Elephas maximus indicus: one gene and its partner. The protein of the gene in region 2 purifies or fractionates together with the protein of the main gene of each other region. This does not show direct contact. Links are inferred from orthologs where the notes say so. Each region holds a gene or a part of one and is shown on either strand. Other genes may lie near its edges. The genes, in order: SERPINA1 and DERL1.

What was found.
Region 1: the proteins of DERL1 (region 2) and SERPINA1 purify together in Homo sapiens (affinity purification with western blotting; 4 studies listed by BioGRID). This does not show direct contact. The link is inferred for Elephas maximus indicus from reciprocal best matches to the Homo sapiens genes DERL1 and SERPINA1.

What each region holds. Positions count from the first base shown.
Region 1 is NC_064828.1:107,951,697-107,968,227, forward strand, and holds the start of SERPINA1 (alpha-1-antitrypsin), read right to left. Parts: upstream 6,351-16,531; 5' UTR 6,199-6,350; coding exon 6,014-6,198; intron 3,023-6,013; exon of another isoform or gene 2,999-3,022; intron 1-2,998.
Region 2 is NC_064833.1:19,712,497-19,728,374, reverse strand, and holds the start of DERL1 (derlin-1), read right to left. Parts: upstream 7,554-15,878; 5' UTR 7,316-7,553; coding exon 7,163-7,315; intron 1-7,162. UniProt on the Homo sapiens protein: Functional component of endoplasmic reticulum-associated degradation (ERAD) for misfolded lumenal proteins. Forms homotetramers which encircle a large channel traversing the endoplasmic reticulum (ER) membrane.

The DNA of each region.
Region 1 (16,531 bases), on a different chromosome or scaffold from region 2:
ATGGATTGAATTGTGCCCCCCAAAATGCGTCTCAGCTTGGCGAGGCCATGATTCCCAGTATTATGTGGTCGTCCACCATTTTGTCATCTTCTGTGATTTTCCTATGTGTTGTAAATCCCGCTTCTATGATGTTAATGAGGCTGGATTAGAGGCAGTTATGTTAATGAGGCAGGACTCAATCTGCAAGATTAGCTTGCATCTTGAGTCAATCTCTTCTGAGATATAAAAAGAGAGGGGTGAGCAGAGAGGAGAGAGGCTTCCTGCCACCAAGAAAGATGAACCAGGAGCACAGCACATCCTTTGGACCTGGGTTCCTGTGCTGAGAAGCTCCTAGACCAGGGGAAGATTGATGACAAGTACCTTCCCCTACAGCTGACAGAGAAAGAAAGCCTTCCCCTGAAGCTGGTGCCCTGAATTCAGACTCATAGCTTCCTAGACTGTCAGAGAATAACCTTCAGTCTGTTAAAGCCATCTGCTGGTGTTACAGCACCACTAGACAACTTTCTGTTGTAGCAGTAGTAGATAACTAAAGGACTTCATTTTATTTGGATCCACAATCAATGCCCATGGAAGCAGCAGCCAAGAAATCAAACGATGCATTGCATTGGGCAAATCTGCTGCAAAAGACCTCTTTAAAGTTTTAAAAAAAGCCAAGATGGCACTTTAAGGACTACGGCACGCCTGACCTAAACCATGGTGTTTTCAATAGCCTCATACACATGTGAAAGCTGGACAATGAATAAAAGACTGAAGAAGAATTGATGCCTTTGATTTATGGTGTTGGCAAAGAATACTGAATATACCATGGACTGCCAGAAGAATGAACAAATCTGCCTTAGAATAAGTACAGCCAGAATGTGAGGCTGGCGAGACTCTGTATTACATACTTTGAACTTGTTATCAGGCGGGACCAGCCCCTGGAGAAGAACATCATGCTTGGTAAGGTAGAAGGTCAGAGAAAAAGAGGAAGACCCTCAACGAGATGGATTGATAACAGTGGCTGCAACAATGGGCTCAAGCATAGCAACGATTGTGAGGATGGCTCAGGACTGGGCAGTGTATTGTTCTGTTGTACACAGGGTCACTATGAGTCGGAACCAACATGACGGCACCTAACAACTACAACAGATAACTAAGACTGTTGTCTTATGCTCATTGATTCCTTCAATCTCCCCTCAAAGCTTACTCTGTGAAGTGGGGATTATTATTAGCCCCGTTTTATAGATGGAGAAATTGAGGCATAAAGAGGTCAAAAGAGCTGACTGAAAACCACTGAGCTAGGAGTTTACGGAACCGGGATTTAACCTAGGCATTTGGGTTCCCGAACCTTATTTAGCTACTTTTAACCCTTCTCTGTGCAGTCAGAATTGACTTGACTGCACTGGGTTCTGTGTACAAAGTTGGAGTCCCTGTATAGTACAAACAGTTAAAGTTCTGGGATGCTAACTGAAAGGTTGGAGGTTCAAGTACACTCTCTTAGAGGTGCCTCGGAGGAAAGACCTGGAGATCTAACTCCAAAAAGCTAGCCATTGAAAACTCTATGGCACACAGTTCTACTCCGACACACTTGGGGTTGCCATGAGTTGGAATCCACCCCACAGCAACCGGAAATCTTTATGTGCAAAGCTGAAGCAAAGGGCCTTGAAACAGGAAAACCTCCGAGGTGGTCCCTCTAAATGAAGGGAGGCAGCATTGCTTAGTGGCTGAGATCAGAGGCTCTGACAGTGGATTGCCTGAGTTCAACTGGCTATTAGCTATGTGACCTTGGACAAGTCCCTCAACCTCTCTGAACCTCCGCTTCCTGGTCTGTGAAGCGGAGACGGTAAGAGTACGCCCCCCTCACAGGCTGGTTGTGCAGTTTAAATACGCACTGAGAGCTGAGAAGTGCCAGGCACTCAGGAGGCCCTCAAGAAGCCTTGGGTGTTGCCGTGGACCTTTCCCAGGCGTTATAGGGGAGCCTGGCCTGCCTGGCCTTGGTCATCTTTGTAGCCCAACTCCAAAAACCAACGGCAGAAAAATCAAATCCTTTCAACACTCAGAGATCAGGGCCAAGTGAGGGCAGAGGTGTAGGGGAGGGAGGGCAAAGGTTATCTACGTTTTGTACAAGAGGACAGGGCGGTTGAGCAACTGTCAAAGGTCACTGAGCATTGGAGAGGCCCCAGGGATAGACGAGGCTCTGGTTCCCCAGCTTGTGCCTGAGAAGCATGCTGGCAGTGCGGCCGGGTCAGGAGCTAGGCGGCCTGAGTTTGAATCCCAAACAGGGTGTGATTTGAGGCAAGTTCTTAACCTCCCTGTCCTCAATTTCCTCATCCATAAAGTGGGAATAATCACAGTAGCCACTTCAGAGGGTTGTTGTGAGGATAAAATTGGCTAATTTTTGCACCGAGCTCAGCAGCTGCCAGACCCAGAATAAGCACTCAGAAAGGTTAGCTGGAGTCCTGACGATGGCATCCCGTGCCAATGTTCCCGTGCCTGAGGGGTGCCCAGCGGCCCCCGTGCCTGGGGGAGACCCATACCGATGCCTGCAGGCCCAGGCTAGCGCAGTACTGTTTCTCAGGCATGTCTGGAGATGATGGAGACCTGGATGACAGGTAGGCTCCTGGCCCAGGTCCCTAGTGACCTGGGCTCAGCACTGCCCCTCTCTGCACCTTAGCGCCTCATCTGTAGAAGAGGAGGAGGATGGTGGCCAAGCACTGGGAGGCTGAGAGGCTAAAAGGAGGTAACCCTGAAAGGCGCCGGAGCTGTGCAGACAAACGCCTGCTCTCACTGTCATTGCCGCTGTAGCTTGGCCCTCGCCCTTCCTGGGGTCCCCAGACAGCGGAGCCAGCACCCACTTCCACATCTGCCTGCTCATTCACTGGTAGGTATGGGGGAGCCCCCCCAGGGCTGCTATTGCTATGGCGACAGGGGGCCTAGACCCAGCCAGCTCCATCCTCCTGGGGCCTCTGGCTATCCCCTCACCCGCCTGGAGGCTCTCCCCATTAGAAGGCATACTCACGACTCACTGTCCCAGGGCCAGGTGTTGACCAAGGCTGAGGAGACAGAGCCCTGTGCTCGTCTGTATTTAAGCAGTGGGCGCTGAGGGGCAAGTGGGGGGAGGCTGCTAGTGATTATTAACCAAGGTCACCACAGTTATCAGAGGAGCAAACAGGGACAAAGTCCGTTGGCCAGGCACCGAGGCACATGGGCTCAACCTGGGCAGTGCACAGCCCTCCACTTCACACACCACAGAGGATCATTGTTCTCAGCTCATAAACCAGCTGTGTCTGAGGTGGGGTGGGATGAGTCAGGGACTCCTGGGACAGCACCGCTCTGCCAGCCCCACGCCCCCGCTCTGAATCCTGGTGGCTGCCCTGTCCTCGGAGAGCAGGAGCTGCCATTTAGCCAGCCACCTCCAAACGCCTGGGGCTGAAGATTCACTGCTGCCCTGGGTGTCAGAGCATGTTATTAGCCCATTTGACAGATGGGGAAACTGAGACCCAGAGAGGAGAGGCCACTCATCCAAAGTCACCAAGCCAGCGTCAGATACAAAGAGGCTCGCGATTTCCCTGAGGAGAGGGTGGGGCAGGTCTGCAGGACAGGGCTGACAGGGCCACATCAGTCTGACGTGGGGTACCCGTGGGCACAGCCAGGGGTCTCAGAGTGTATCTGCAAAGATAGCCTGGCTTTGGGGTGAGGCTGATCCTGGTCAACTCTTGCCTGGATTTGCCACCGAAGAGCTGTGTGGCCTCAGGCAAGCTGCTTCACCTCTCTGATCCTGGGGGTGTTTTCATCTGCCTCATGCATTATCTGCCTCCTGGTTGGCACTCCCACCTCCTAGCGTTGTTGCCAGGACCACACAAAGCAGCTTATATAAAGTCCCTGACACACAGTAGGCTCTTTATCTCCAGGCTGCTCTGAGCAGAAGGAGGCCCAATTCAAGGCAGACCAACGTGACCCACAGACGAAAAATACCCGGTTGCCGTCGAGTTGATTCCGACTCATGGCGACCCCGTGCTTGCAGAGTAGAACTGGTCCATAGGGTTTTGAAAAATGTGACCTTTTAGAAGCAGATCACCAGGGCTGTCTTCCAAGGCCCCTCTAGGTGGGTTGGAACCATCAATTTTTTGGTTAATAGTCAAGCTCTTAACTGTTTGTGCCACCCAGAGACTGCTCCCATTTCCTTGGGAATGTGGCTCAGCCCTGGGGCTATTGCAGGCCCTTGGGTGCCCTATGGTGGTTGGGAGAGTGTTAGGGGGTAAGACCGGAAGGACCCCAGCCCCAGTCTCAGCTCCACTTGCTTGTAATCCCTTGAAAAACCTAAGTCAGATCACATCGCACCTTGTGCAAACGCTTCATGGCTCCTGTCTTGCACAGAGAAAAAAGCCCAAGTCCTTCCCAGTGGCCCACACCTCCAGGAGCCCCCTTCCTCTCCGACTCACCTCCTGGCACCCTCTCCCATGCTCACTCTGCTCCAGCCATGCCAGCCTCCTTGCTGTCCCTGGAGCCTCTCAGGCCTGCTCCAGCCTCAGAGCATTTTCACTGGCTGTTCCCCTTGCCTGCACACTTTTCCCCCACTTCTTTCAGGCCTCTGCTCAAACCTGCACTCAAACCTCCCCCGGTCACAAAGGTTTTTCCCTTTGAATAAGCCAGCACCCATCACCCCACACCCCCACTCTGCCCCCCTCCCTTTGCGCTTGCACCGTGGAGACACTTGAGGACCCCTCGACACTCGTGGCTGATCTCTGTACACACGCTCCGCGCGGGAGCTGCTCTGCTCTGTCCGTGTGCACCTGAGTCTGGCACCGTGGCACTAAGCACACTAAGCAGACATTTGCTGAGCTAATGGATGACTGTGTCATTGTTCCTTCTCTCCTTCCCTCAGTCTCCACTTTGCCTTCCCCTTGGGGTTCTGTCTCTAGCAAAAACATTCAGACCAGGGAGTCAGAGCCAGGTTGGCAGGGTTTGAATGCTGAGCCCCTGGGGGCTAAGCTATGTGGGTTGAAGCCTTAACTCCACCCCTCCCTTTTTGAGTGGTCACAGATAAGCCGCTGGGCCTCTCTGTGCTTGTTTCCTCATCTGTAAAATGGGGATATGGTTCCGCTGGTTGTGAGACCTGAAGTACATTGTTTAACCTTCCCATGCCTCAGTTTCCCCATCTGTAGAATGGGAACCAGGACAGTGTCTACCTGACTGGGCAGTGTGAGGATTAAATGTAGCCATTCAAGCTGAGCCCGGGGCCAAGTGTCACATGTGCACAATAGGCCTTCTCTGATGCTGACCAGGGCTCCCACTTAATCCTTGCCCAGTGTGGAGGGTCTCCCTGCTGCCTTACCCACAAACCCTGCTGCTGGTGCTCAGGGAAGGCCTCAAGGTGACCGGTGGGGTGGGGGCATCGGAGTGGCTTATAGGGTGGGGCCCTCAGAGTAGCTGGTGAAGTCGGGAGCCTCAGGACGACTGGTGGGGTGAGGGGCCTCAGGGTGACTGGTGGGGTGGGGGACATCGGGGTGGTTGGTGGGATGGGGGGCATTGGGGTGACTGGTGGGGTGGGACGTCTCGAGGTGGTCGTGGGGTGGAGAGTCTTGGGGTTGACTAGAGGTGGGGGACATTCTAAGAACTTTCTTCCAGGAAGCTGGACCCCATGCCAGGCATTCTCTCATTCAGTACTCACAGTACCCCTGGAGGTGGTGTGTACCCCTGCCTTTACAGAAGTGGGAAACTGAGGTTCAGAGAGGCAAGGACCCCCCAGCTTTGTCACCTGGCTTCAGTGTTTCTGCTGTCCCCTGATCTAGCCAAGTGGGCATCCCCCCAGGATTTTATATCCCGTCACATCTTGGAGAGATGTGCCTTCAATACCTTCTTGGTAAGCTTCTGCCCCTCTGTGGGCCTCAGTTTCCCCATCTGTACAACCTCGAAGCCCAGCTGCCCCTCCCAACTCTTGTATTGGATGGGCAATGGTCTCTTGGCAGGCACCCCCCCCCGCGCCCTTCCCCAGGGGGCCTGGGGACTGGCTAGAGGGTACCACCCCCTGTACCTTGAATTCCTGGCGGGCATGACGCGCCTCCTGCAGTGGTCCAATCCCTCTTCCTCCACAGCTGGTGTGGGGAAGTCGTGAGTGTCTGCTGGCCAGGAGGAAGGAGGCTGCGGTGGCAGTGGAGGCCACGGGTCTGGGAGGGTGGAGGCACAGGGGCAGGATGCTGCCTTGCACAAAGCTGTCATTGCCAGGTGGATGCCAGACCCACCCTTCTCAGCCTGGGCAGGCCTGCGCGTTATCAGCTGCCCTGTTGGTCCAGCATTGTGGCCCAGGAAGACTTACCGGCTGGTCTGGGCCTCTGTAAGAGGGCTGACCACACCCGCTCGGGATTAATGGAGATGACAGGCATCACCCTCCTGGCTCAGGGCCTAGAACAGGGTATCTGGCAGGTGCCTGGGTCAGCTGCAGAGGGAAGAGGGCGGAGGCACCCCTGAAATGCTCATGGGAGCCCCCTGGAGGCTGTGATGGGTGTGTGGCAGGGGAGAGGAGTGTATCACAGAGCCTGGCAGGAGCAGGAGAGATGGCAGATGGGGGGACATTTACAGAAGGAATGAGGAAAGAGCAGGGGAGAGTGAGGGGTCCCGGGCTGTATCCCCAGCGCTTCCTCATCTCCCCATCCTCACTCCCACTCTCCCCCTAGTGTTTTATGCTGCAGAAGTGACTCTGGGTACCCATCCTGAGAAGAAGGAGTGGGGTGATTTGGGAAAATGAACAAGGACAGAGTACACGGAGGCGTTAGTGGCCAATACCGAAGGACACTGTACCCCGTGACCCAGAGGCCATGGGGCAGGGGGTGGGGGAGAGAATCTTGTTCTCTGGGTCCCTTCTGGAATTGCCTGTGGCATCGCCTGGGTGGGTTCCCCGGGCACGACCGCACCACGGGAAATCGTGTGGATAGGTTGGAGACGGATATTTGGGGAGACTCTGCCCCTCCGTAAAAACATAAAAAGCAAAACAAAACCAGTTGCTGTCGAGTCTGTTCTGACTTGCGGCGACCCCACGCACGTCAGAGCAGAGGTCAGAGCAGACGTGCGCTCCGTGGGGTTGTCAGTGACTCCGGGCGGCCCCACGCACATCAGAGCAGAGGTCAGAGCAGACGTGCGCTCCGTGGGGTTTTCAGTGACTCACGACGGCCCCACGCACGTCAGAGCAGAGGTCAGAGCAGACGTGCGCTCCGTGGGGTTGTCAGTGACTCGGGGCAGCCCCACGCATGTCAGAGCAGAGGTCAGAGCAGACGTGCGCTCCGTGGGGTTTTCAATGACTCACGGCGACCCCACGCATGTCAGAGCAGAGGTGCGCTCCTTAGGGGTTTTCAATGGCTGATTTTCCAGAAGTATATCACCTTTTTTTATATCACCAGGCCGTTCTTCCTAGGCACCTCTGGATAGATTCAAACACTAACCTTTCAGTTTATAGTTGAGCGCTTTACTATTTACACCAAGCAGGGTCTCCAGTAGGGCCCTGCAAAGGAATGGGAGCCCCACTGTGTAGGATAGGGAGAGGCCTGAGAGCTGAGATGCCGAGTCTCCAACAAGGAGGAAAGTGAGGAGTGGAGTGTGCTGAAGAAGGGTCCTGGGCCAAGTAGACCAAGGACCAAGGATCGTCGATTGCTCAGGAGTCCCCTGGATTTCAGGGGAGCTGAACCCATTTGCAGGAAAGTGTGGAAACCAGCCTGTACTGCCCCCCCACCCAACACACACACACACACCACATGCCCTCCCTCTCAGATTTCCTTCCCGTTTCCAGGGTCTGTTAAGCACAGACTCAGGGGCTAAGCTATCAAGCCTTAACTCCACCCCTTTCTTTTTGCATGATCTTAGACAAGCCTTGTAATCTCTCTGTGCCTCAGTTTCCTCATCTGTAAAATGGGCATATGAACTGTCACTCACTTCCACGAGGGTTATATAACATGTAAGCCCTTAGGGCAGTCTTGGCACATGGCCCCAAGTTAATGCCAACTGCTGTTATGGTCTATGGGAATGTACCCTGGTCTGGAAAAGATTTCAGGTGGATCCCAGAGGCCTGAGAGTGGGAGAAAGACCCCTGCCTTTGGTCCCCATTTGGGAGCATCTCTCTTAGACCAGGGATGCCTCCTCAGATTCAGGCTTCCACTTATCTGAGAAGGCCACCCATCCTTTCTCCAGGGGCCTGTGTTCATGTTGCTTCCTGGAGATGCAACTAGCGTCTACCTGAGCACCTGTGAGGTGCAATGTAGCCAGGTGGGCCTGGGGCAGCGGAAGCCGGGCAGCCTGGGACTCACTGGGGGAAGGGCTTTGCTTCGCCTTGCTGAGCCCCAGCATCCTCATCTGTAAGATGGGGACAATAAGAGTCTCTTTCTCACAGGTGGCTTTAAGGTGCTGCCTGTGTGTATTTAACAATTGTGCCGGCATGGTTGACACGTGGCTGCCTTCTCAGAACGCACTTTAATTACTAGGGCTATTACCAGGGATGGAGAGCGTTTGCACACTTGGTTCGCCTCCTCCTGGCACTCTTGTGAACCTGCCAACTTGCAACATCCAGGCGGACCCTGGTCCTTCCTGTGTTCAACCTCCAGCGCTGCTTCCTATACTTGGTACAATTTCTGAACTTTCTGAAACTATCCGACAAATTCAGAGTTCCTTGTTTTCATTCCTCAGCCTACGCAGATAGAGAAAAATAAAGATATCGGTGCGTTGTAAGGGACAATATAGTTAATAGAAGGAATAAAACGTACATTTATAGTTTCATCCCCCACTCAGTAAAATAAATAAAATAAGCATTCTATTATAACTAACCTTTCCTGCACTGTAATTTGGAAAGCAGGAGAATGAATAAGGAAGACCAAAGAAGAGTTGACGCCTTTGAATTGTGGTGATGGTGAAGAATACTGAATATACCATGGACTGCCAGAAGAATAAACAAATCTGTCTTGGAAGAAGTACAACCAGAATGCTCCTTAGAAACAAGGATGGCGAGACTGTCTTACATACTTTGAACACGTTATCAGGAGGGATCAGTCCCTGGAGAAGGACAGTATGCTTGATAAAGTAGAGGGTCAGTGAAAAATAGGAAGACCCTCAACCAGATGGATTGACACAGTGGATTCAACAATGGGCTCGAGCATAACAATGATCAGGAAGATGGCACAGGACCAGGCAGTGTTTGGTTCTGTTGTACACAGGGTCGCTATGAGTTGGAACTGACTCAGTGCACCTAAGTACAATAAAACACTGTAATTTTACCCTTTGAGTGCCATTATGGACTCGCAGCTTTTAGGAGACTCAACCTGTCCTGTTTAACTGTCATGATCATTTCCCTTCTGGTGTTCCCCGTTTCATATTTCGGCCAGTAGGAGCCCCTTTAATTTTTCTCTGTTCTCCTTTCAGCAGGCTCTTTGTACGACGTTCTGGAGCATACATGCGGGCTTTGTAGTCAGGGCACCATGTCCCAGCCCATCCTCACCGTTCCCGGCCCCTGGACATTGAGTGTTGTCCTTGACCCTCTCTGGGGCACCCTGTTGGAAGGGAAGAGGGAGGGGTGGCACAGGCAGGGCTGGGTGACAGGACTCACCCCCGAGGGGAACATGGAGACCCAGCAGGACATTGAGACTTGTTTTTCAGAGGCACATGTCCTGTGTGGGCGGCTCAGATAACAGGGAGCGATAGGGCGTCTAGAACTTGCCTCACGACCTTGGGTTGAAGCGGTTCAGTCCCCGTTGTTGACTTCCCTTCATGTTGACTTTAAGCATTTCTGTTTGCTCACATTTTATAATACAAATCCCCAAAGTGTTCCCGTGTGCGGTCTATCATCACCTGCATCACAGCTGATGCTTCTCAGGTGCTTATTACCTGCTGGGCTCTGTTCTAGATGCTTTATGTGTATTCACGTGCAATCCCCTGCGGTGGGCGCCATTATTCTCCCCTTAGTGTGGATGGGGAAACTGAGGCACAGACCGCTACCACAGTGCTGAAAATGCAGCCAACCTGCCTCCCTCCTGCCTTCCCTTCCTTCCTACATGTCCTTCCTTCCTACATCTATAATCAGCTCATAGGGCTGTCTTCCTTACATTCACCCATCTATTAGTGTACCTGCTCATTTATTCATTCACTCTCTAAATATCATGTGTTGCTCTCCTGTTGGGTGCCAGCAACTGCACTAGGCTCTGGGTTTGCAAAGGTGAGAAGACATGGTCCCCACTGTCTGGAACTCACGCTCTGGTGAGGGCCAAGCCGGGGAACATGGAGGCTCTTCCAGAAATCCGGGGAGGGAGGAGACGTGGATATGAGAGATGAACAGGAGGCAGGGGCAGAAAGATGGATGACAGGTCGGAGGGCTGACATATGGGGTGAGAGCCAGGAAGGTGTTGGGGCTGGAATCAGATCTCTGAACTCCCTGTTCAGGTCTCTTTCTGTCCATCCTTCCCACCTCCTTGGATAGGATCTCTTTCCAACCCCTCACCACCCCCTATGCCAGGAAGGAATAAACTCTCTGAAGGCAGGTCCACAGCTGGCTGGCAGCATCTGAGATGATGAAATGCCGGATGGGGGGTTGCATAACATCTTTCCTGTTGCTGCTCCTTGTCGCCCCTCTCTGTTCTGGGGCTCAGGCCCCTGTCACCCCTTGTTCCTCCTCCTGTGTACTCACAGATAGTGAGCCCCGACTCCCCCAGAGAAGCTTGCTTCTCCTCGAGTCCTCTCCAGTGGGGGTTGTTTGCTCTCCAACATTCCCTGGACTCATTTACTGTTGAGATCTCTTTCTGCCAACCCTCCCTGCTCCGTTGGATAGGGACTCTCTTCACATGTCCCCATGCCAGGAACAAGCAAATGGCACCATTCCCTGGGTGCAAGAGCAGGTCTGATTCTCCCGGCCTCCCTGCTGGCTCCCAACCTCTCCTCTTCCTGCAGTTACACAGCCTCCCTGGATGGCCCCATGCTCTCCCAACCTCTCCTCTTCCTGCAGTTACACAGCCTCCCTGGATGGCCCCATGCTCTCCCAACCTCACCCCTGACATCCACAGGCCTGTGCATCACACCCTGTGGTTGTTGGTGACCTCATGTACAGCAGAACAAAATGTTGCTCAGTCCTGAGGGTCTCATTTTCCAGCACTCCATCAGACAATGTTCTATTGTGATCTGAAGGGTTCTCATGGGCTGATTTTTCGAAGCAGGTTGCGAGGCCTTACTTCCTAGTCTGTCTTAGTCTGGAAGTTCCATTGAAACATGTCCATCATGGTAACTTGGCTGGTATTTGAAATACCTGGGCATGGCTTTCAGCATCACAGCAACACACAAACCACCACAGTGGGACAAACTGACAGACAGGTGGTGGGATCACCCCCAGCATCACTGGACATGGGCACCTGGGCCCGGCCTGGTCTTCTCTGGCATCACTCAGTGTCCTCATGGGTGCCCCTCTAAGCCCCTGGCCTCTTGCCTTCTGTCCATCTCATTTCCAAGATTTGTTTCTTACTCTTCCCCACCACAGACGGTCATGGCTGCACCTTGGCCTTCAATCTGAGACCTCTAATATCAACTCTTTATCTAAAATCACATCTTGGTTGCTCCCTCCCACGTGCCCTTGGCCCTTCTGGGGCCGTAGTAGACAGATGGAAATGGTGTGGAGTGACCAGCTTAAATCTCATGGTCCATCCCTTCGGCCACTCTCCTGGCAATACCTTTTTGGTAGCCACAATAATGTCCCCATTATATGAAGATGTTCACATACTAATTCCTGGGACCTGTGAATGTCTTACCTTACATGGCAAGATGGGCTTTGTAGATGTGATAACTTTTAGGATCTTGAAATGGGGAGACTAGCCTGGATTATCCAGGCGTGTCCAATGTAATCACAAGGCTGCTTATACAGGAGACGGAAGGGCCAGAGTCAGAGAAGAAATGCAAGGACAGACGCAGGCATCAGAGTCATTCAGGAAGGGGTCATGAGCCAAGGAACACAGATGGCCTCTGGAAGCTGGAAGAATGAAGGACATTGACTCGCACCTAAAGCCTTCAGAAAGAATGAGTCTTTCCAACACTTTGAGTTCAGATTTCTGACCCTCAGGACTGTAAGAGAATAAACTTGTGTTGTTTTAAGCAACTAATTTTGTGGTGCTTGTTACAGTAGCAAGAGGAAACTAATACAATCCTTGACTCGCTTTCGTTTTTCCTTTGTGCCCACCCAGCAAAACTCTAACTTAGGCCGGCCTAACCACTCTCCATGCCCTGCTGCAGTGCAATGAATTGCTTAATATGGCCCTTTTAGCCATAGTCTTTGTGACTTACACACAGTGATTGAATGGGACTATGCAAATAAGGTGTATGGAACCCTGACAAAGGGATTGGTCAGTTTACCCATCCCACTAGGCTTACAATGAGCCATCGCAGAGGCAGGAGGAGTGGATCTCACTACCACCAAGAAAGAAAAGCTAGGAGTGGAGCATGTCCCAAAGGATCCAGGATCCCTGTGCTGAGAAGCTCCTGGAACCAGGAGACCAAGACAGGGAGAGCTGTAACGCCAAAGGCAGTGAGAAGCAGCAGCAGAGAAATGGTGGTGAGGCAGGAGATGGGCAGTAACTGGCAGCAGACAGAGCATTGGGCTTCCTGGCCCATGGAGCAAGAAGGCTGAGTGCCTTCAGGCAGAAGCCTTGCTGGCAGAGTAGGGCGTCTCCAGGCACTTGGTGGAGCTAGGTTTGCCTACCCATGGAGCTAGAGCTGGGTACCTTCTGGCTGAGGGTTCCTGGCAGGGTGGGATGCCTCTGGGCACTGAGTGGCAGAGCTAAAAGAGCTTTGTAACACTTGGCCGAGCAAGGCAGAGGCCTAGGGTCAGAGAGGCGTGCCTGCGGGCATGGCTGAGAAGAGGCCGTCCTGATGGAAGACTGTATCCTGAGTGTTCCTGAACCTGAATTATGACCTGTTACTTCCCTAATAAACCTCATAATGTTGAGTATTGTCTGTGAGTTCTGTGTGGCCATTGCAATGAATTATCGAACCCAGCAGAGAAGCAGAGAGTGCCGTGGGAGGGACGGTTGGTGTCAGAATTGGTAAAGATGGCAGAGAGAGGAGGCGCGTCTGACTTCCGCCTCATAGGAATCTGCCTTGGGCTGTTGATCTTGATTCTCCTTCCCCCTTGTGAACGGAGAGGAGGTCAGAGGCCTCTCCACGCAATTTTTTTTTTTTTTATTGTGCATTAAGTGAAAGTTTACAGTTCAGTTTCTCATACAAAAATTTGTACATTGATATTATGTGACCCTAGTTGCTCTCCCTATAATGTGACAGCACCTTCCTCCTTTTCACCCCAGATTTCCCATGTGCTTTCAACTAGCTCCTGTCCCTGTTTTGGGTTCTCATCTCATCTCCAGACAGGAGCTGCCCATTTAGTCTCATGTATCTACTTGAGCTAAGAAGCACTCTCTTCACAAGCATCATTTTATGTCTTACAGTCCAGTCTAATCTTTGTCTGAAGAGTTGACTTCGAGAATGGCTTCAGCTTTGGGCTAACAGGGAGTCCAGAGGCCATGTCTTCCGGGGTTCCTCCAGTCTCAGTCAGACCATTAAGTCTGGTCTTTTTACTAGAATTTGAGTTCTGCACCTCACTTTTCTCCTGCTCCATCAGGGACTCTGTTGTGTTTCCTGTCTGGGCTCTGCCACACCATTTTGACACCCACCTTCGCTGGCACAGATGAAACCCTGGTGGTGTAGTAGTTAAGAGCTATGGCTGCTAACCAAAAGGCTGGCAGTTCAAGTCCACCAGGCACTCCTTGGAAACTCTACGGGCGGTTCTACTCTGTACTATAGGTAGCTATGAGTTGAAATCTGCTCGGCGGCAACGGGTTTGTTTTTTTTTGTTTTCCCTGGCACGGGAGGAGCGCTACTGGAGAAAGCCAGCTTGAGCCTCCTCACTGGCTTTCTGTCGCTCTCAGACTGAAGTCTCAGCTGCTTAGCCTGACACTGAAAGTTTTCTGTGGCCCCCCTCAGGCTCATCCCGACTGTGTCTCCACACACCTCACCCAGAGGCTGACAAACCGCAGGCAAGCCCACCCCGGGCTCCCACCACCACTCAAAATCCAGCCCCCTCACCCCGTCCCGAGGAGACAAGAGGAATGCATCACTGGAGGACTGCAGGGTGGGGGCTGGAGCTGCCGGTGGTGATGAAATTCATCCCTCCCACCCAAGGACAGGGATTGCATCAGCTCCCCTGCTCCCTCCTTCCACCCTCCCGCGGCCACCTCTGGGGCTCTGTCTGGGAGTGCAGGCGCCTCTCGGCAAGGCCCCCCAGCCAGGACGTGACACAGAGACCGCTTCCCAACGTCCCACTGCTCACTACACAATTCCAGCAAAACCCATCCAATTTTCTGATGGGCTCCTGGGGGCCAGGCGCTCTATATACAGAAACTGGAATCTTCCGAACAACTCTGCAAGACAGGCTTTATTATTTCCATTTTGCAGGCGAGGGTCAGAGGAAAAACATAAGATGACTCTTTCTATAAACCTTTCTCGAATCCTCCTGCCTCTCCGCACCACCACTGGCCTGGCTACCAGTCGTCATCTCTTTCCCTGCCTCCGTTTTGTGTTTCTTTTTACAGAGGTATTATTTACATACCATAAGACGTTTTCACCTTTGTGTACGTTTGTGCGACCACCACCCCAATCAAGCTAGAAAGCTTGGCCATCAAGCTAGGAAATTCCCCTGTGCCTTTTCTAGTCAAGTCACCCCGAAGGTAACTTCCATTCTGGCTTCTGGCCCCAGAGACTAGTTGTACCTCTTTTAGAACATCAGGTAAATATAATCATATGCTGGGTACTTTTTGTGTCTAGATATGTATCTAGATTCTTTCAACACTGTGTTTTTGGGATTCAGCCACATTGTTGTATACCTCAGCAATCGGTTCCTGCTTATAGCTGAAAGCTATTCCATGGTAGGAACCTACATTTAGTCTATTTATCTGCTGATGGACATCTGGGTTCTTTCCTATTTTAATTCTGACTAAAGCTTCCATGAGCATTAATGTATCACCCTTAGTGTGGGTGTGTTTGCATTTGTCCTGAGTGGAATGACTAGGTAGAGGAGAGGTGAGTGCTAAACTTTCAAGAAACTTCGCTCTCTCCTCTCCACCTTCCCCTGCTGACTATGGAGGTTTTGCGGAATAGAGTGGAGATGCTGTCAGAAACACATAGTTCAAACCCCCGATCTGCCATTACCTGCTGAGAACTTGGAGCTAGTGACTTACGGTACTCTCTCTGTGGAATGGGTTGGTAGTTCTGAGATCATGGGGTTCCAGTGAAGATAACAGGAGATATCACTCGTGAAATACTGGGCTCAATAAATATTATTTCCCTTTTCTTTCACTCCTGGGATCGTGTGGCTGTTTATTTTTAAGGCAGGCAAGTAGAAATTAAATAATTCAGTGAAATGGTTAGGGACAAAAAACAAGATTGCTCTAGAATTTAGTCAGAGATCAACGATTTCCATTCTACTTAAATGGGTTTGCAGTGCCTCTTAGTCATTGCTCCACCTTGCAGGGTGTTGGGAAAGCAGAGCAAACATCAGCTAGGTCAATACCGCCTTCTGCGGCGAAGGTCTGGGCAGAACAAACAGTGAGGACATGTACTTTCTGGGGCTTCCTCTGCCCCCTTCCCGCTAACTCTGTCCTCCCCTGGGGTGAAATGGGAAGTAGGCAGGACAAACCCAAAACCCAAGTCAGCCAGGAAAAACCCAAAAACCAAACCCTTTGCCAACAAGTTAATTCCAAATCATGGCAACCCCGTGTATTACAGGGAAGAACTGCTCCATAGGGTTTTCTTGGTGGTAATCGTTAGGGAAGCAGATCGCCAGGCCTTTTTTAGGTGGTGCCACTGGGTGGGTTTGAACCACCAACCTTTAGGTTAGTAGTTGGGCACAACTTGATTGTGCCACCCAGCGACTTGGGTTCTTTGAAATGACTCAGGCCCAAGTACTGGAAGGTGTGTAGATGGGATTAGGGGGTCAAGGTTGCCTCCTGGAAAAGTACCCTCCTTCCGTGGCTGGGGCCATTCAAGTTCACCAGGGAGGGTGCAACCATTCAGAGGGTTGAAGACAAAAGTTCACACACACATATGCATGTTAGCCCTCCCACATGAGGCATTTGGCGTTCACCTTCATTGTGTAAGGGGGTCACCTTCATTGTATAAGGGGGTCGTCTTCTTTTTGTAAAGAGCTCTGGACATAACGATGGTTCTGACATTGCCTGGTTCAGATGGACTATGCAAGATCATAGGATTTGGGGATAGTCTGAGCTGGGCTCAGTTCACTGTGGACAAGTTACTTAACCCCTCACAGTTTCAATGTCCTTGTTCATAAATGGTTAACGCTCTGGCTGCTAACCGAAAGGTTGGCGTTTCAAGTCCACCCAGAGGTGCCTCAGAAGAATGGCCTGGTGATCTGCTTTCAAAAAATATCAGCCACTGAAAACTTTATGAAGACAGTTCTACTCTGACACATACGATGTTGTCATGAGTCGGAGTTGGCTCGATGGAGACTGGTATCTATAAATGAGATTATACT
Region 2 (15,878 bases):
GCCTTATAACAGATACATGAGGAAATGCTCACGATCATTAGCCATTAGAGAAATGCAAATCTAAACTGCAATGAGATACCATCTCACCCCAACAAGGGTAGCGTTAATTCAAAAAAACACAAAACAATAAATGTTGTCGAGGTTGTGGAGAGGCTGGAACACTTATACACTGCTGGTGGGAAAGTATAGTGGTACAACCACTTTGGAAATCGATTTGGCACCTCCTTAAAAAAGCTAGAAATAGAACTACCACACGATGCAGCAATCCCACTCCCTGGAATATATCCTAGAGAAATAAGAGCCCTCACATGAATACATATATGCACACCCATGTTCACTGCTGCACTGTCCACAATAGCAAAAAGATGGAAATAACCTATACATCGATCAACAAACAGATAAATTATGGTATAGTCACACAATGGAATACTGCACAATGATGAACAACAACGATGAATCCATGAAACACCTCATAACATGGATGAATTAGGAAGGCATTATGCTGAGTGAAATTAGTCAGTCACAAAAGAACAAATATTATATGAGACCACTATTGTAAGAACTCAAGAAAAGGTTTAAACAACAAAAGAAAACATTCTTTGATGGTCATGAGGGTGGGGAGGGAGGGAGAAGGGCATTCACTAACTAGATAGTAGACAAGAATCACCTTAGGTGAAGGGAAGGACAACACATCATACAGGGGAAGTCAGCAGCACTGGGCTAAATCCAAAGCTAAGAAATTTCCTCAATACAACAAAACACTTAGAGGGACGAGTAGCTGGGGAGGGGTCTGCAGACTATGGTTTTGGGGGACATTTAGGTCAAATGGCATAACAAAGTTTATTAAGAAAATGTTCTGCATCTCACTTTGGTGAGTGGTGTCTAGCGTCTTAAAAGCTAGCAAGCAGCCATCTAAGATGCATCAATTGGTCCCAATGTACCTGGAGCAATGGAGAATGAAGAAAGCCAAAGACACAAGGAAAATATTAGCCCAAGAGACAAAAGAGGCTACATAAATCAGAGACTCCATGAGCCTGAGACCAGAAGAACTAGATGGTATCTGTCTACCACCAAGGATTACCCTGACAGGGAATACAACAGATAGTCCCTGAAAGAAGAGAAAACTGAGGTGCAGAACTCAAATTCTACTAAAAAGACTAGACTTAATGATCTGACTGAGACTGAAGAACCCCAGAAGACAAGGCCCCCAGACTCTCTGTTAACGCAGAACAAAAACCATTTCTGAAGCCAACTCTTCAAAGAATAGACAGGAGTATAAGACACAAAATGATACTCATAACGAGTGTGCTTCTTAGTTCAAGTAGATACATGAGACTAAATGAGAAGCTCCTGTCTGGAGGTGAGATGTGAAGGCAGAAAGAGATAGGAGCTGGGCAAATGGAGACGGGAAATCCAGGGTGGAAAGGAGGAATGTGCAATCACATTATAGGAATAGCAACCAGGCCTACATAACAATGTGTGTATAAATTTTTGTATGAGAAACTAACTTCAGCAGTAAACTTTCACCTAAAGCACGATAAGAAAAAGAAAAAGAAAAGATTCACAGCCTTAGAAACTCTATGGGGCAGTTCTACTCTGTCCTACAGGGTCACTATGAATAGGGATCAACTCAACAGCAGTGGGTTTTTGGTTTTTAAGGGCACATAACTAGCTGAAGGCTCAGCCAGGCCTTGAGATCATGGCTCAATTACCTGAAAACTCACAGCCTGTCTAACAGAAAAGGAAAAGTAATTTCCTATGACTGATCTGGAAGAAATCATCTTCAAAACTGTTCTACCGTACACTTAGCTATGTGGTTTGGTATATATTATGCAAATGCGTTAAACAAGATAGCCTAGAACTAGCCTCGTCTCACTGAAATAGAAACTGAAACTGCAGCTGTCTATAAAGTAGGGTAACATCTACCTAGGATGTTTGTGAGAGCTGAATGAGGTAAGACACGGAGAAGCACAATACAGATGTACAGGGCGACGTTATTTTGTTCAAAGAAATGAAGAAATATTGCCAGGTAGGCAATAACCTGGGAGACATAACTCCAGAAGATAGTAAGTAGCAGGAAACTGCCGCCTTTCTACTAGTTCATCAGGGACCACTATGAAGACATTTCATCACTGTGAACTACTTAACTGATGGGTTTAAGTCTGAGGGATTAGGAAGAGAGAAAAAGAAATTCTGGACAGTGGTGTAGTGAGTCTTAACATACGCCTAGATGTTCTGGCTTATCCAAACTAAGGAAAGCACATTTTAAACTCTGGAGTTCCAAACCAGTAAGTGACTCACAGGGAAGCTATAAATAAGGTGGAAAAATTACATCTGTCACTTCTAACACAAATCTACAATTCTAAATCAACCCAACCATCACAATTTTTTTTTTTTTTTTTTTAAGTGCAAGAAGGTCTATAAAGATTCCAAGGTCTTTATTAAAGATTCAGCTTCTAAAGAAAAAATAAGCCTCTGGCAGAAATGCTGCTAAAGCCCAACACAGCTTGTCTTTGCCTGTCAGCCTCTCTCAGATACAGTCTTTCCTCAACTGCTTCATTAGCAAAGAGTCCCTTCAGGTGGATCCGAAAGCTAAACGTGTCTGGCATAGGTAGGAGCCAGAGGAGCAAGAGGAAGACACACGGTATATCAGGGCTTTGAACCCTGTTCGGTTCGTTCTGGATAGAACCCCACTGATAATTTGCATTTCTAACAGGTTCCCAGGCTGCTGGTTAGGAACTAACTCCGAGAACCACTAGTACAGCAGAGGTTCCGAAAATTTGTTACAGATAAGAATCACCTAGGGAATCTTAATATCGATTTTGATTCAGTATATCAGGGATGGAAATGCAAATTCTCAGCAGGGGTTCAAACTGGAAACCCTGGTAAAAGATAGTGTCTTTTCGTACCTGGGCAGTCAGTGCACTGCTCCTGCCTCCTGCCAGCAGCTTCAGTCTCAAGATAACAAGGCCAGAAGAAACAGTGCAAGGAGGGCAGAAAAATCCCGGCAGGGTGACATGAATGATGACTCTTTCTAAAGATAATGAGTCAGTTGACCCCCTTTGACACTATGCATCTGCCCCCTATCAGAAAGGCTTTCTTCTGTTACTTATTTTAGTAAATGGACTACACAAGTGAGCAAGATTTTGCAAGGAGGGTCAAACAGCCAAGTTTTGACCAGGTCCTTCTCACAAAACAATTTATCATTGCTCCCCGTGACACACATTACCCAACATGTCACCAGGCACAAAGTACAAAACTTTCACTCAGTCAACAAGTATTTACTAAAGCAAATCACAGGAGAAAATTCTGCAGTGCGATTCTGGCTGCCACCCAGAATCACGTTCTTATATCCAAGCGCCTACAAGCACCTCAGAGACCAAAGTTTCCTAGTGGTTACTAGGGGTGGGAGGGTGGGGTGGAGGGGGGAGCCACTGCTTACGGGGCACCAAGTTTCTGTTAAGGATGACGGAATAATCTGGGAACAAACAGTGGTGATGGTTCTGTCTACTCTAATTTCCTACGACTGATTTGGAAGAAATCATCTTCAAAAATGTCCTACTGCACACTTAGCTATGTGGTTTGGTAGCTACTACGCAAAGGAGTTAAGCAAGATAGCCTAGAACCATCTCTGACGTACCGAAATAGAAACTGAAAGAGCAGCTGTCTATAAAACAGGGTAACACAACATGATGAATGTAATCCATGTCACTGAATTGAACATGGAAAAAAGGTTGAATTGGCGAATGTTTTGTTATATTATTTTTACTACAATAAAACGAACACAACTACATCTCAGAGTTAACACGCCTAAAACCTAACTCTTTGTCCACACCTCTCCCCAAACCTAAGGGTTCCTAAACATTCCCAATCTCAGGAAATGGCTACACCATTCACTCAGCTACTTCTGTATAAACACTTAATGACATCTGCGAATCCTGTTTCCTTCACCCTTTTACCCTTCATATCCAATCCAGCGAGCAATCTTGTCCACTCCGACTCCCAAATCTATCCACTTCTATGGTCCAAACCACCATCTCTCTTGCCTACTAACTTAATTCATCTCTGATTCCATTACCTAGCTGTCCTCCTCACATACAAACCATGGTGGGCTACTATCCCCGCTTTCACCCTGTCCCCCTACACACCACATCCATCCCACAGAGTACTCAAGGTCTTGTCAGTCCTTTCTTCAAAAGGCTGCAAAGGCTTCCCAGTGTCCTGAAAATAAAGTTCTAAACCCTTAACACAGCCTCCACCACCCGTGTGTCAGTTTGTGGTACTGTGGTGGCTTGTACGCTGCTATGACACTGGAAGTTAGGCCACCAGTATTTCAAATACCAGCAGGGTCACCCATGATGGCATGTTTCAGTAGAGCTTCCAGACTGAGACAGACTAGGAAGAGAGGCCTGGTGATCTACTTTTGAATATTAATCAATGAAAACCCTATGGATCACAACAGAATATTGCCAATATAGTGCTGGAAGATAGGCGCTGGAAGGCCCTCAAAATACACAGTGGCCGTAACAATGGACTCGAGCATACCAACCATCATGAAGATGATGCAGGACTCAGTATCCTTTCATTCTCTTGTACTTGAGGTGGAGCCGGCTCCACGGCAACCGACGATAACAACAACAAGGCCGCAAAGCTCCACATGATCTGGCCCCAGACTAACTTTCTGTCTTCACTTCACTGCATTCACCTCTGACTATCTCCCTGTCCTTATCTCCCACTCCTCATTTCTACAGTATCTGCACTGGCTACAGTCTTTCTGTTCATTGTTCCTGCCCCTAAGCCTTTCACAGGCTTCTTCCTGCAAGGTTGTCCCCAGAGCCAAATTTTTCCAAGGCTGCCTCATGTCATTCAAGTTTCAGTTTAAATATCTTCTCTAAGGCCTTTCTGGACCACCCTATTAAATATTACACCCTTTAAGTCACCCCCTATCACATGCCTCACTCTTATTTTCTTCACGGGAGCTGGGACCTTTCCTATCCTAGTCACTATTGTATCCCCAGTGGCCAGCACATAGCAGATGACCAATTATTTCCATGCATTCAACCAGTAGCACCTGCTATGTGCCAGGCACTATTTTAGGTGACAAAGACAGTGGTAAACAAGACAAAGATCTGGCTCGCATGGAGCCTTCTTCTCTTAGGGAAAGCACACCGATAAATACCAATGGTGATATATAGCAAGAAAAATTAAGAGTAAGGTAGATAGAGTGAAGGAGGGGTGCTATTTTCTGTAGGACAATCAGAGAAGGCATCACCCATAAGTAACATTTGGAAAGAGACCAGAAGTAAGAAGGTAAATGAGTAAACCATGGTTACCTTTCTTTAGGCAGAGAAACATGTGCAAAGGCCCTGAGGAGGGATGGAGTTGGAGCTGAAGGAACAGCAAGGATGTCACTGTAGAAACTGATGTACAAGGTAGAGAGTAGTGGTAGATGAGGTCAGAGAGGCAGTGGGGGGCCTTATAGGCCACTGAAAGGACCTGGATTTCACTCAGAGTTGAGAAGACACTGGAGGGTTCTGAGCAGAGGCTTGGCAGGACTCGATTTATATTTTTAAAGGCTCACTCTAGCAATTTGGAGAAACAATTGAAAGGAACAAAGCTGGAAGATGATAATGGTTTACAATGCAAAGTGAGAAGAGATTGTATTCTGGATATATGTCCAAGGCAGTCAACAGGATTTCCTGACAGACTGTGGAGTAGAAGGGAAAGAAAAATCAGGGGTGATCCCAAAACTGCTATTAGCTTGAGCTCCTGTAATAATGGAGTTGCTATTTACTTCTAGGATGACGGGAGTGGGGGATTCAGTTTTGGACATGTTAAGTTTGAGATGCCTATCAGACACCCAAGTGGTGATTTCAAACAGACGGTTGGAATGTACAAGTCTAGAAATCAGGAGATAGATCTGGGCTGAAGATACTTGTATTGGTATCCAGCAGTCTTCAGTTTACAGACAGCAGCTAAAGACAAGGCTGAACAAGATCACCTAGGGAGAGCGTGTAGAAAAGAGGTCCTATAACTGATCTTTGGGGCACATCACAACATTTAAAGGTTAGGAAGATGAGGAATCAGAAAAAAAGACTTTAAAATAATAGCCAGTGAAGAGAGGGAAGCCAACAGAGTATTACCCACAGGCCAAATAATCAGGGCTTCGAACTGGTTAGCTCTGATCGATCCCTTGCTGAGAATTTGCATTTCCACCCCAGAGATACTGAATGAGAATCCAGATTTCTTAACAAGATCCCCAGGTGATTCTTATGCACAACTTCCTGGGAACTTGTTAGAAATGCAAATTTTCAGCAGGGGTTCAAACCAGAAGCACCGGTTCAAAGCCCTGCAAATTAATTAATTAATGTCAGATCCTGGTACCTGACCTGCCACTAATTAAAATTTAAACCATAGGACCCAGTGAATATAGATAACGCTCAGGCAATGAGCATTCCTTTGCCAAGTAATCACCTTGGACTCCTTCCTTCATATTCAAAGTAACAATAGTACAGTATCTTCCATTTCTGGGGCAATTTACTCTTTACTCATTCCTTCATGCATTTACCTACTACAGACCAGATACTAGGTTAGTGCCTAGGGGAAAACCGCAAGTAAATAAACTCATTCTCTGCACCTCTGACCTTAAATCCCTCCTACAGGAGAGAAAAAACAAACAAACCTCCATTAACGTCAAAAGAGCGCAGCGCAATGTTCGCTAAATTATTTGACACTCACACGTCACCCACATGGTGGCAGAGGGAGGTGAGAGGGCACCTGCTTCAAGTGGACCCAGGCTGCTAGCCACGGCTCTTAAAGGTTCCAACAGCGTCCTATACACTGACAAACATAACTTACTGACTTAACTTGTCACTGCCTCATTCCCTGAGCACAGAGGACGGAAACCACAACTTTAATATAAGGGTGAGATCGGCCCCTTCTCACCTGGGCAAAGCTCACGTCGCCAGCTACTCAGGCCCTGGCTGCCGACCCCTATGCCTCCCGACCCCGACCCCCGAGACCCTCCCTAACCCTCTGGAGCCCTACGCACTACATATCCCACTAAGCACCGCGCTCACGCAACACGCCGGCCAACGCTCCGCCAACGTGGGGCCGCCTGAGACGTGTAGTCTTCACTGCCCACCGTCCGGCCGGTCAGTACCTGGAAGCGATAGAGGAAAGCTTCGGGCCAGAGGAAGAGGTAGGCCGGGCTGATGAGGCCGAGTTTGCCGATTAAGGGCACCGCGACGGTGGCGGCGAACCAGTAGCGTGTGATGGCCGGGATGCTCCTGAACCAGTCCCCGATGTCCGACATCTTCGCTTCTCAGGTCGCCAGGATGAGCACAATCGCCCAACTCCCGGCCTCGGCTTCCTCACGACTCGGCTGGCTCCGCAAGTGGAAGGTGTCGAGGCGGAAGCCACCGAAGCCGCCGTGCAGAAGGCGGGGACCGGCGGACGTGGCGCCACCGAATTCGGACGAGCGAGGGAGCGTTCTCAGGCGACACTTCCTCTTCCGGGGGCCGCGGACGACGTGATGAGAAGTCCTGCCGCTTAAAGGGCAAGCGCCGCTTTTTCAGACGTGGCCAGGCTCGGCGGTCCTGGGAGCGGGCCGAAGGGGGCGGGCCGAAGGGAGCGGGCCGAAGGGGGCGGGCCGAAGGGGGGAGGGGCGGGGCCTCGACGCGACTGGTGGGAAACAGTGGTTGCCAGAAGCAACGGCAAATGCTCCAGCCAATGGCGAAGCCCAGTGGCCCTGACAGTTTTCTCGCCTGAGAGTGGAGTCTACTTGGTAGTGATTTAAACGGGAAGGAGTAAAAGGAAGTAGTTTGTCCCTCATTTGTTCACTCTTCAAAAAATATTTGCTGAGGACCTATTAAGTGCCAGGCAAGGTTCTAGACACTGGGATACTGCGGCTATCAGAGCTGTCCTGGTACCTTCTCTCCTGAAGCTTACATTCCAACGGGGATGGACAGATAATAAACAATAATCGAAAAAAGATAATTTCAGAGAGTAATAAGAAAAATAAAATAGGATGATGAGGTAGAGTGACGGGGTGGAGTTGGTGTGGGAAAGATTGCTACTTTAAGGTGAGAATGGTCAGGGCGAACTTCCCTGAGGAGGTGACATTTAGGCTTAGCCAGTCAGGTGAAGATCCTGGCAAAGAGTTTTCCATGCAGATAAAACAGCCAGTCCAGCTAACTTGGAGTATTGGGAGAACTGAAAGCAGTAATAATCTTGGCAATTAATCTAGTTTCATCAGGCAAGATTTAAATTAAAACCCAGTGCCGTCGAGTCGAATTACAAGCAGATAAAAGTCCACCTCATGCTTTAAAAAAACAATCAGTAAAAAGATATTAAAAGGAACTTTTCCTGTTGTATTCAGATTTAGGGCTTATAGGTGAGAATTCATAAGGCCATCCAATAAAGACTACCAGGAACACGCCTGTAGTCAACAAAGTTAGATTTATTAACTCTCTGCAACAGAGGAGACACTATACCAGAGGAACCTGGGACGTCTCACCAAAGGAGAGTAGGGTTATTATGAGAAAGGGTGGAGTTTAGTGAAATGAAGCAGTGTTTTGATAGGCTCAAAGCAAAGTAGGGCTGTGTGTAAAGGTTTAACATCAGGCTTAGGCCTGAGCTGAGAAACAGAGGCCAGGTCCTCTTTCCTTGGAAACCTCAAAGTTAAGATAAACTTGGAATGTTGGGTCTGAAAACCCCTTATCTAAAGCTTTTCACCTGAATTGAAAATCCTGTGTCAAAGTGACCCGGCATGGCACAGATCCTCAAGGAAAGAGTGCAGGATGTTCCATTCACACAAATGTAATTTCAAACAGCAAAGTTTCTGACAATCTATTATTTTAGAGAACGTCTCTGAGCACCATGTCCTTCATGTTAGTTAACCAAAGAGGTTTTTACAGGATTAAAAAAAAAGCCCAAACCCCTTGCCATCAAGTCTATTCCAACTCATAGCGATCCTCCAGGACAGAGTAGAACTGCCCCATAGAGTTTCCAAGGAGCACCTGGTGGATTTGAACTGCCAACCTTTCGGTTTGCAGGATGAAAAGGCACTAAATACAATTGAATGAGCATATACAGCATTTAGGGACCTACTGAACATCAAGTATATTGAATATATGATGAAACCCCTCACTCATGCATAGATGGTGGGAATGTAAATTGGTACAGCCTTACAGAAGGACAATTTTGGTATAAAAGAAAAACTAGAAGGATGTATAAATAACATAATACTTGGAGATATTTTCTGAGGCTCCTTCTCTGTACCCCACCCCACTCCCACCATTTTCTTGTACCCACTCCTTGTTGTACCCAGAGTACAATAAGGTAAAACAAGGATTATCTAACATAGGTTAATGGCAAAGAAGATTTCTTGGATAAACTCGTAAGTACATGTGCACGGGAAAAAGGCAAAAACAACACACACATCAAATGTCTAGCAGTATTTATTTATAGGTGGTGTGGTTATAAGTGGATTTTTATTTGAATGAGTCTTCCAGAATTCAGCTGCAGGCTTTATAAATACTAAAGTTTAAATCATGACTGCTTACTAGCAATGTGATGTTGGAAAATTAGCCTTTCTGTTCCTTAGTTTCTTCATCTGTAAAATGAGGGAGGGAACTGAAAGGTTGGCAGTTCAAACCCACCAACCACTCCATGAGAGAAAGATGTAGCAGCCTGCTTCCACAAAGATTTACAGTCTTGGAAACCCTATGGGGCAGTTTTACTCTGTCCAAAGGATTGCTAGGAGCCCTGGCGGCGCAGTTGCTAAGAGTTCAGCTGCTAACTAAAAGGGTCACTATGAGTTGGAATTGACTCGACAGCAGTGGGTTTTGTTTGGGCTTTTGTTGTCTGCTTTAATTTTTTTTGTACTATGTATATATGTACTATCCATCACTTGTCTGTCAATTTGTCATACCATGGTAGCTTGTGTGTTGCTATGTGCTGGAAACTGTGCCACCAGTATTTCGAATAGGAGCAAGGTCACCCACAGTGGACAGGTTTCAGTGGAGTTTCTACAGTAAGACTAAGAAGAAAGGACTGGCAATCTACATCCAAATATTAGCCAACAAAAATCTTGTGGATCAGAACATAATATTATCTGACTGGACTCAAACATACCAGTGATCATGAAGATGGCACAGGACCGGGCAACATTTCATTATGTTATATGTAAGGTTGCCATGAGTTGGAGCCAACTTGACAGCAACTAACAACAACAACATATGTACTATGTACATTAATTAAAAATTAATTTTAAAGATATGTAAAAAGGAAGTTTGTTCAGAAAGAGGGAGTTCAGTGTCAGAAACTTCAGAAAGATTGAAAAGGAGAAAAGATGATCTTGATCATGTTCTCCTGCTGTAATTAAAATGTATTTCCTGTTGTTTCCCTGAAAAACAGGGTTTAAAATGAATTGGAGGGATCCCAACAGTCAAAAGAACAATATGGTCCCGTGCTGACGCTTGGCAGGGTGGCTGCTGAGTGATGCTGACAGAGAGCCGATGACTCAAGCATCGTTCTGTCACTATAGTCAGAGGAACACTGTCCTAATGGGATGCCTGCCATGGAAGGGCATCTTTCTTCAAGAAGTTCAAAGCACACTGCAAATATGTAATGAAGTCTCACGCTAGCTACTAGGCAAGTTCATTAGCCCCATCTTGCAGATGAAGCTATGGCAAGAATAATAACTCATCGCTGTCAAACCCGCCAGAACTAGTCTTGTATTTTTAGCCACAAGCCTGGGAAATTTTTCAAATTTTGACTCACTGGGCTAGGAGAGAGGGGTGTGTACTAAACAGCATATAAAGTATTTTCCATTTGTTACTTTTACTACATGTGCGCTCATGCATGCATGTACTACATAAAGATACCCTTCTATATAGTAAGGAATCAGTCTGGATTCCAGTCCTTCCTCTGACGGTTGCTAGTTATGGAACCATGGACAAGTCTCTTTCTCTCAGTTGATCATCCAAATGGGAAAATAGTATCACCTGCCCCTCTTACATGAAGGTTGTTTGTTTGTTTTAATTGAGCATCTACTATTTACCAAGCTCTCAGGAGCCCTGGAAATGCTGGTGGTGTAGTGGTTAAGTGCTACAGCTGCTAACTAAAAGGTCGGCAATTCGAATCCACCAGGTGCTCCTTGGAAACTCTATGGGGCAGTTCTACTCAGTCCTGTAGGGTCACTATGAGTCGGAATCGACTCAATGGCAACAAGTTTGGTTTTTTTGGTTTGAAGGAGCCCTGGTGGTGGTGTTGAAAGGATTGACTGCTAACTGAAAAGTCAACTGTTTGAAATGACTGGTGGCTCCGCGGGAGAAAGATAAGGAAGTCTGCTTCCACAGAGATTTACAGCCTTGGAAACCCTATGGGGCTACTGAGTCGGAACCGACTCAATGGCAATGGGTTTGGTTTTTTGGGTGGTTGTGCTTTACATGCATCATCTTGCTTCACTCTCACACTATTTACACCACAGAATCGCCAAAAGCTACAAATGAGGGCTTGCTTTTTGTTTTTGTTTTTCCAGAGAGCCAGTTGTTAAACATTGATCAGCATACCACTAGTAAGAAGAAATATGGAAGAATAATAAGCTTCCCTTTCTTTTCCGTTGCTGTCCAGTCAGTTCCACTCACAGCAACCCTCTAGGACAGGATAAAATTGTCCCACAGGGCTTCCAAGGCTATAATCTTTACGGAAGCAAGCCCTGGGGCATAGTGGTCAAAGCACTTGACTGATAACCAAAAGGCCAGAAGTAGGAACCCACCAGCTGCTCCACAGAAGAAAGAGGTGCCAGTCTGCTTCCGTAAAGATCAACAGCCTTGAAAACACTATGGGGCAGTTCTTCTCTGTCCTGTAGGGTCACTGAGTTGAATCGACTCGACGGTGGGTTCAGTTTAATCTTTATGGAAGCAGACTGCCACAGCGTTCTCCCATGGAGTGGCTGTTGGGTTTGAACCACCGACCTTTTGGATAGCAGCTCAGTGCTTAACCACTGTACCACCAGGGCTCCTTTAAGCCTCCGTCATCATGCATCTTGTTGGCATCAAGCTGATTCTGACTCATAGCGATCCTATAGGACAGAGTAGAACTGCCCCATGGAGTTTCCAAGGAGCCCCTGGTAGATTCGAACAGCTGACCTTTTGGTTAGCTGCCATAGCACTTAACTACTGCACCACTGTAGAGTGGCTTAAATAATAGTAACAATCAAACCCCAAAAACCAAACCCAGTGCCGTCAAGTCGATTCCGACTCCTAGTGACCTGACCCTATAGGACAGAGTAGAACTGCCCCACAGAGTTTCCAAGGAGCGCCTGGCGAATTCAAATTGCCTTCCCTTTGGTTAGCAGCCATAGCACTAAACTACTACGCCACCAGGGTTTCCTAACAGCTAACATTTATTGAGCACTTCTATGTGGTTGATGCTATTCTAAACTCCTCACAACTCTTCCAAGGCAGCTGCTGTTATTATCCTGATTTTACGGACAAAGAAATAATGGCACAAAAATGTTAAATACTTTGCCCAAGGTTATAGTACTGGTAAGAGGTAGAGCCAATGAACCTAGGCATTCTGGGTCCCCTGCCTTTAAATTATACTGCCCATATTTTCCAAACCACTAGTCAGGGTCCAAGATCTAATAAGTGCAAGCATATTTATGGGGTGAACAGGCAAAACATATGAATATGGGGCTATATGTTCACCATGCCCATAAATTAGAGGTTTCAATTTGATGCAAAATTCAGATAGGACTTCTATAGGGTTTAAAAGCAAAAGCAAGCAAGACTAAAGAATCAACTGTGTAGTAATCCAGTGAAAGGCAGCTAACATATATCTGGTGCTAACATATACCTGGTTCAGATGTCCCATCAGTGTTGGTTCCATTACTCTGCTCCATCCCACAACAAGTGCACACCTATTTTTTTATATAAGAATTTTCTAAAGAGTTAAGCAGATGGCCCCAGCTTCCAAGTGCTGCTTCACTAACAAAAGAAAACACTCTTCTAAGGTCTATAGGTTAAATAGATAATCCCATTGTACCTACCCTATCTTATCTTTCTCTTTCCTCACGTGGAAAACTCCTTGAAGCATTTTTCAAAGCACCCTATGTAACCAAAACAAAATGCTCGGGAAAGATGGTGTTTTACTGCCAAGTAGGAAACGGGAGGGACTAAGAAGCCGGTTGAGATGAGATGAAATTTAGCTGAGAAGGGGTCTGGTAGGCACTGTTTTTGCTGGTCATCTGTGGCCTCTCTCCACACACTGCCCAGATCGGCACCAGAAGGATGCTGCGCTGCTCTAGAATAATGGACAATTAAGCTTAGCTCAGTTTGTCTTCCTCCCTTAAAGCAATTAGCGGCATTTGACCAGCATCCTGTCATGCTTGATTGATAGCCTGTCCTCTGAGCACATAAATGCTATCCCATACCCAAACTCACTGCCATCAAGTCGATTCCAGCTCAGTGACCCTATAGGACGGAGTAAAACTGCTGCATAGGCTTTCCAAGGCTGTATGTAAATCTTTAATGAAGCTGTCTTACGCTGGATTCTCTAGAGAAGCAAAACGAGCAAAGCGTATAAATATATGTAGAGAGAGATTTATATTAAGGAAATGGCTCATGCAGTTGTAGAGGCTGGAGTGTCCCAAGTCCGTGAGCCAGACTGGAGGCTCCTCCTGATTCACATAGCTGCAGAGGCTGCTGAACCCAAGATCTGCAAGTCAGACAGTAGCGTTCAGGCTGACAGGCTTCGAGGACTGACAAATCCCAAGATCCACAGGCAAGATAGCAGATAAGCTGCTAGCTCAAGTCCCAAGAACTGGAGGTCAGACGAACAGGAGCCAGCTGCAGGATCCAGAGCGAGCAAAAGCCAACAAGCCTTGCCAGAAAGTCCACCTACATTGGATGTAGGCCACACCCTGAAGGAAGCTCCTTTTCAACTGATTGGCTACTCGCAGTAGATCCCATCATGGAGGTGATAACATTATATCAAGTCTTATCATGGAAGCGATCACATCATTATACCACTGCCAAACTACATCCTAAGTGCCAAACCACTGAGAATCATGGCCCAGCCAAGTTGACTCACAACCTTAACTATCACAGAAGCAGACCACCACATCTTTCTCCCAGGGAGCAGCTGGTGGATTCGAACTGAAGACCTTTGGTTAGCGGCCAAGCCTTAACCACTGTACCACCAGGGTTCCTTAAATGCTATTCCAAAAAACCAAATCCGTTGCTGTCAAGATGATTCCAACTCATAGCAACCCTATAGCCAAAAAAATAAAATCAAACCCTTTGCCTTCGAGTCGATTCCAACTCACAGCAACCTGAAAGACCAGAGTAGACTTGCTCCATAGGGTTTCTAAGGAGCAGCTGGTGGATTCGAACTGCTGACCTTTGGGTTAGCAGCCAATCTCTTAATCACTGTGCCACCAGGGCTCCAGCGACCCTATAGTAAAAAAAAAAAAAAAAAATTAGGAGTCTATAAATCAGGAATAATTATTCAGTTCTGTGGAAGATATTCTCAACATCCCATGACCCCACAGCCCCTAGCCCAGGGAGGTCTTTGAAATAGGCCATCTTTACAGGATACAATTTTGAAGGTTTTAGCATCTAAATAGAATCTGCTCAACCTGGCTTATACTGTAGGGCCACTATGAGTTGAAATTGACTTGACGGCAAGGGGTTTGGTTTGGTTTTAGAATAATACAATTAGATATGAATTGCTTTGGCATAATATTTGCAAATAATTTTTTTAAATCTTCCCACAATAGGAAAATTATAAATATTGTAATTATAAAATTATGTTACTTCCGTAAAATGGAACCTCATGTATTCGTGGCTGAGCAGAGGTGGTTCTAGCCCGCCCTTGTTTATTAGGAGAGCTTTTACTTGATACCATTGCCACTGAGTCAATGCTGACTCATGGCGACCCCATGTGTGTCAGAGTAGAAGTACACTCCACACGGTTTTCAATGGCTGATGTTTTAGGAATCCATTGCCACTGAGTCAATGCTGACTCATGGCGACCCCATGTGTGTCAGAGTAGAGCTACACTCCACACGGTTTTCAATGGCTGATGTTTTAGGAATACGTTGCCATGATTTTCTTCCAAGACACCTCTGGGAGGACTCAAACCTGTGATCTTTTGGTTAGCATCTTAACTGTTTGCAGCACCCAGGGACTCCTTGGACTTGATTAAAAAAAAAAAAAATCCTTTGCCATCGAGTCTATTCTGAGTCATGGTCACCCCATGTGTTTTAGAGTAGAACTGCTCCATAGGGTTTCTTAGCTGTAATCTTTATGGAAGCAAATCACCAGGCCTTTCTTCCATGGGCCCACTGGGTGAGTATAAACCGCCAACCTTTTAGGTTAGTAGGTGAACACAAACCATCTGTGCCACGTGTGGTTGTTCTTAGGTGCCGCTGAATCAGTTCCAACTCAAAGCAACCCTATGCGCAACAGAACGAAACACTGCCCAGTCCTGCACAATTCTCAAAATTGTTGTTACGCTTGAGCCAATTGTTGCAGCTATGTCAATCCATCCCATTGAGGGCCTTCCTCTTTTTCACTGACCCTCTACTTTTTTTTTTTTTTTTCTACTTTACCAAGCATGATGTCCTTCCCAGGGTCTGATCCCTTCTGAAACACGTCCAAAGTAAATGCTATGGCGTCTTGCCATCCTTGCTTCCAGGGAGCATTCTGGTTGTACTTCTTCCAAGACGGATTTGTTTTTTCTTGTGGCAATCCATGGTATATTCATTATTCTTCTCCAGTTCTTCTCTGGTCTTTTTTATTCACTATCTGGCTTTTGCATGCATAGGAGGTGACTGAAAACACCATGGCTTGGTCGGGTGCACCTTA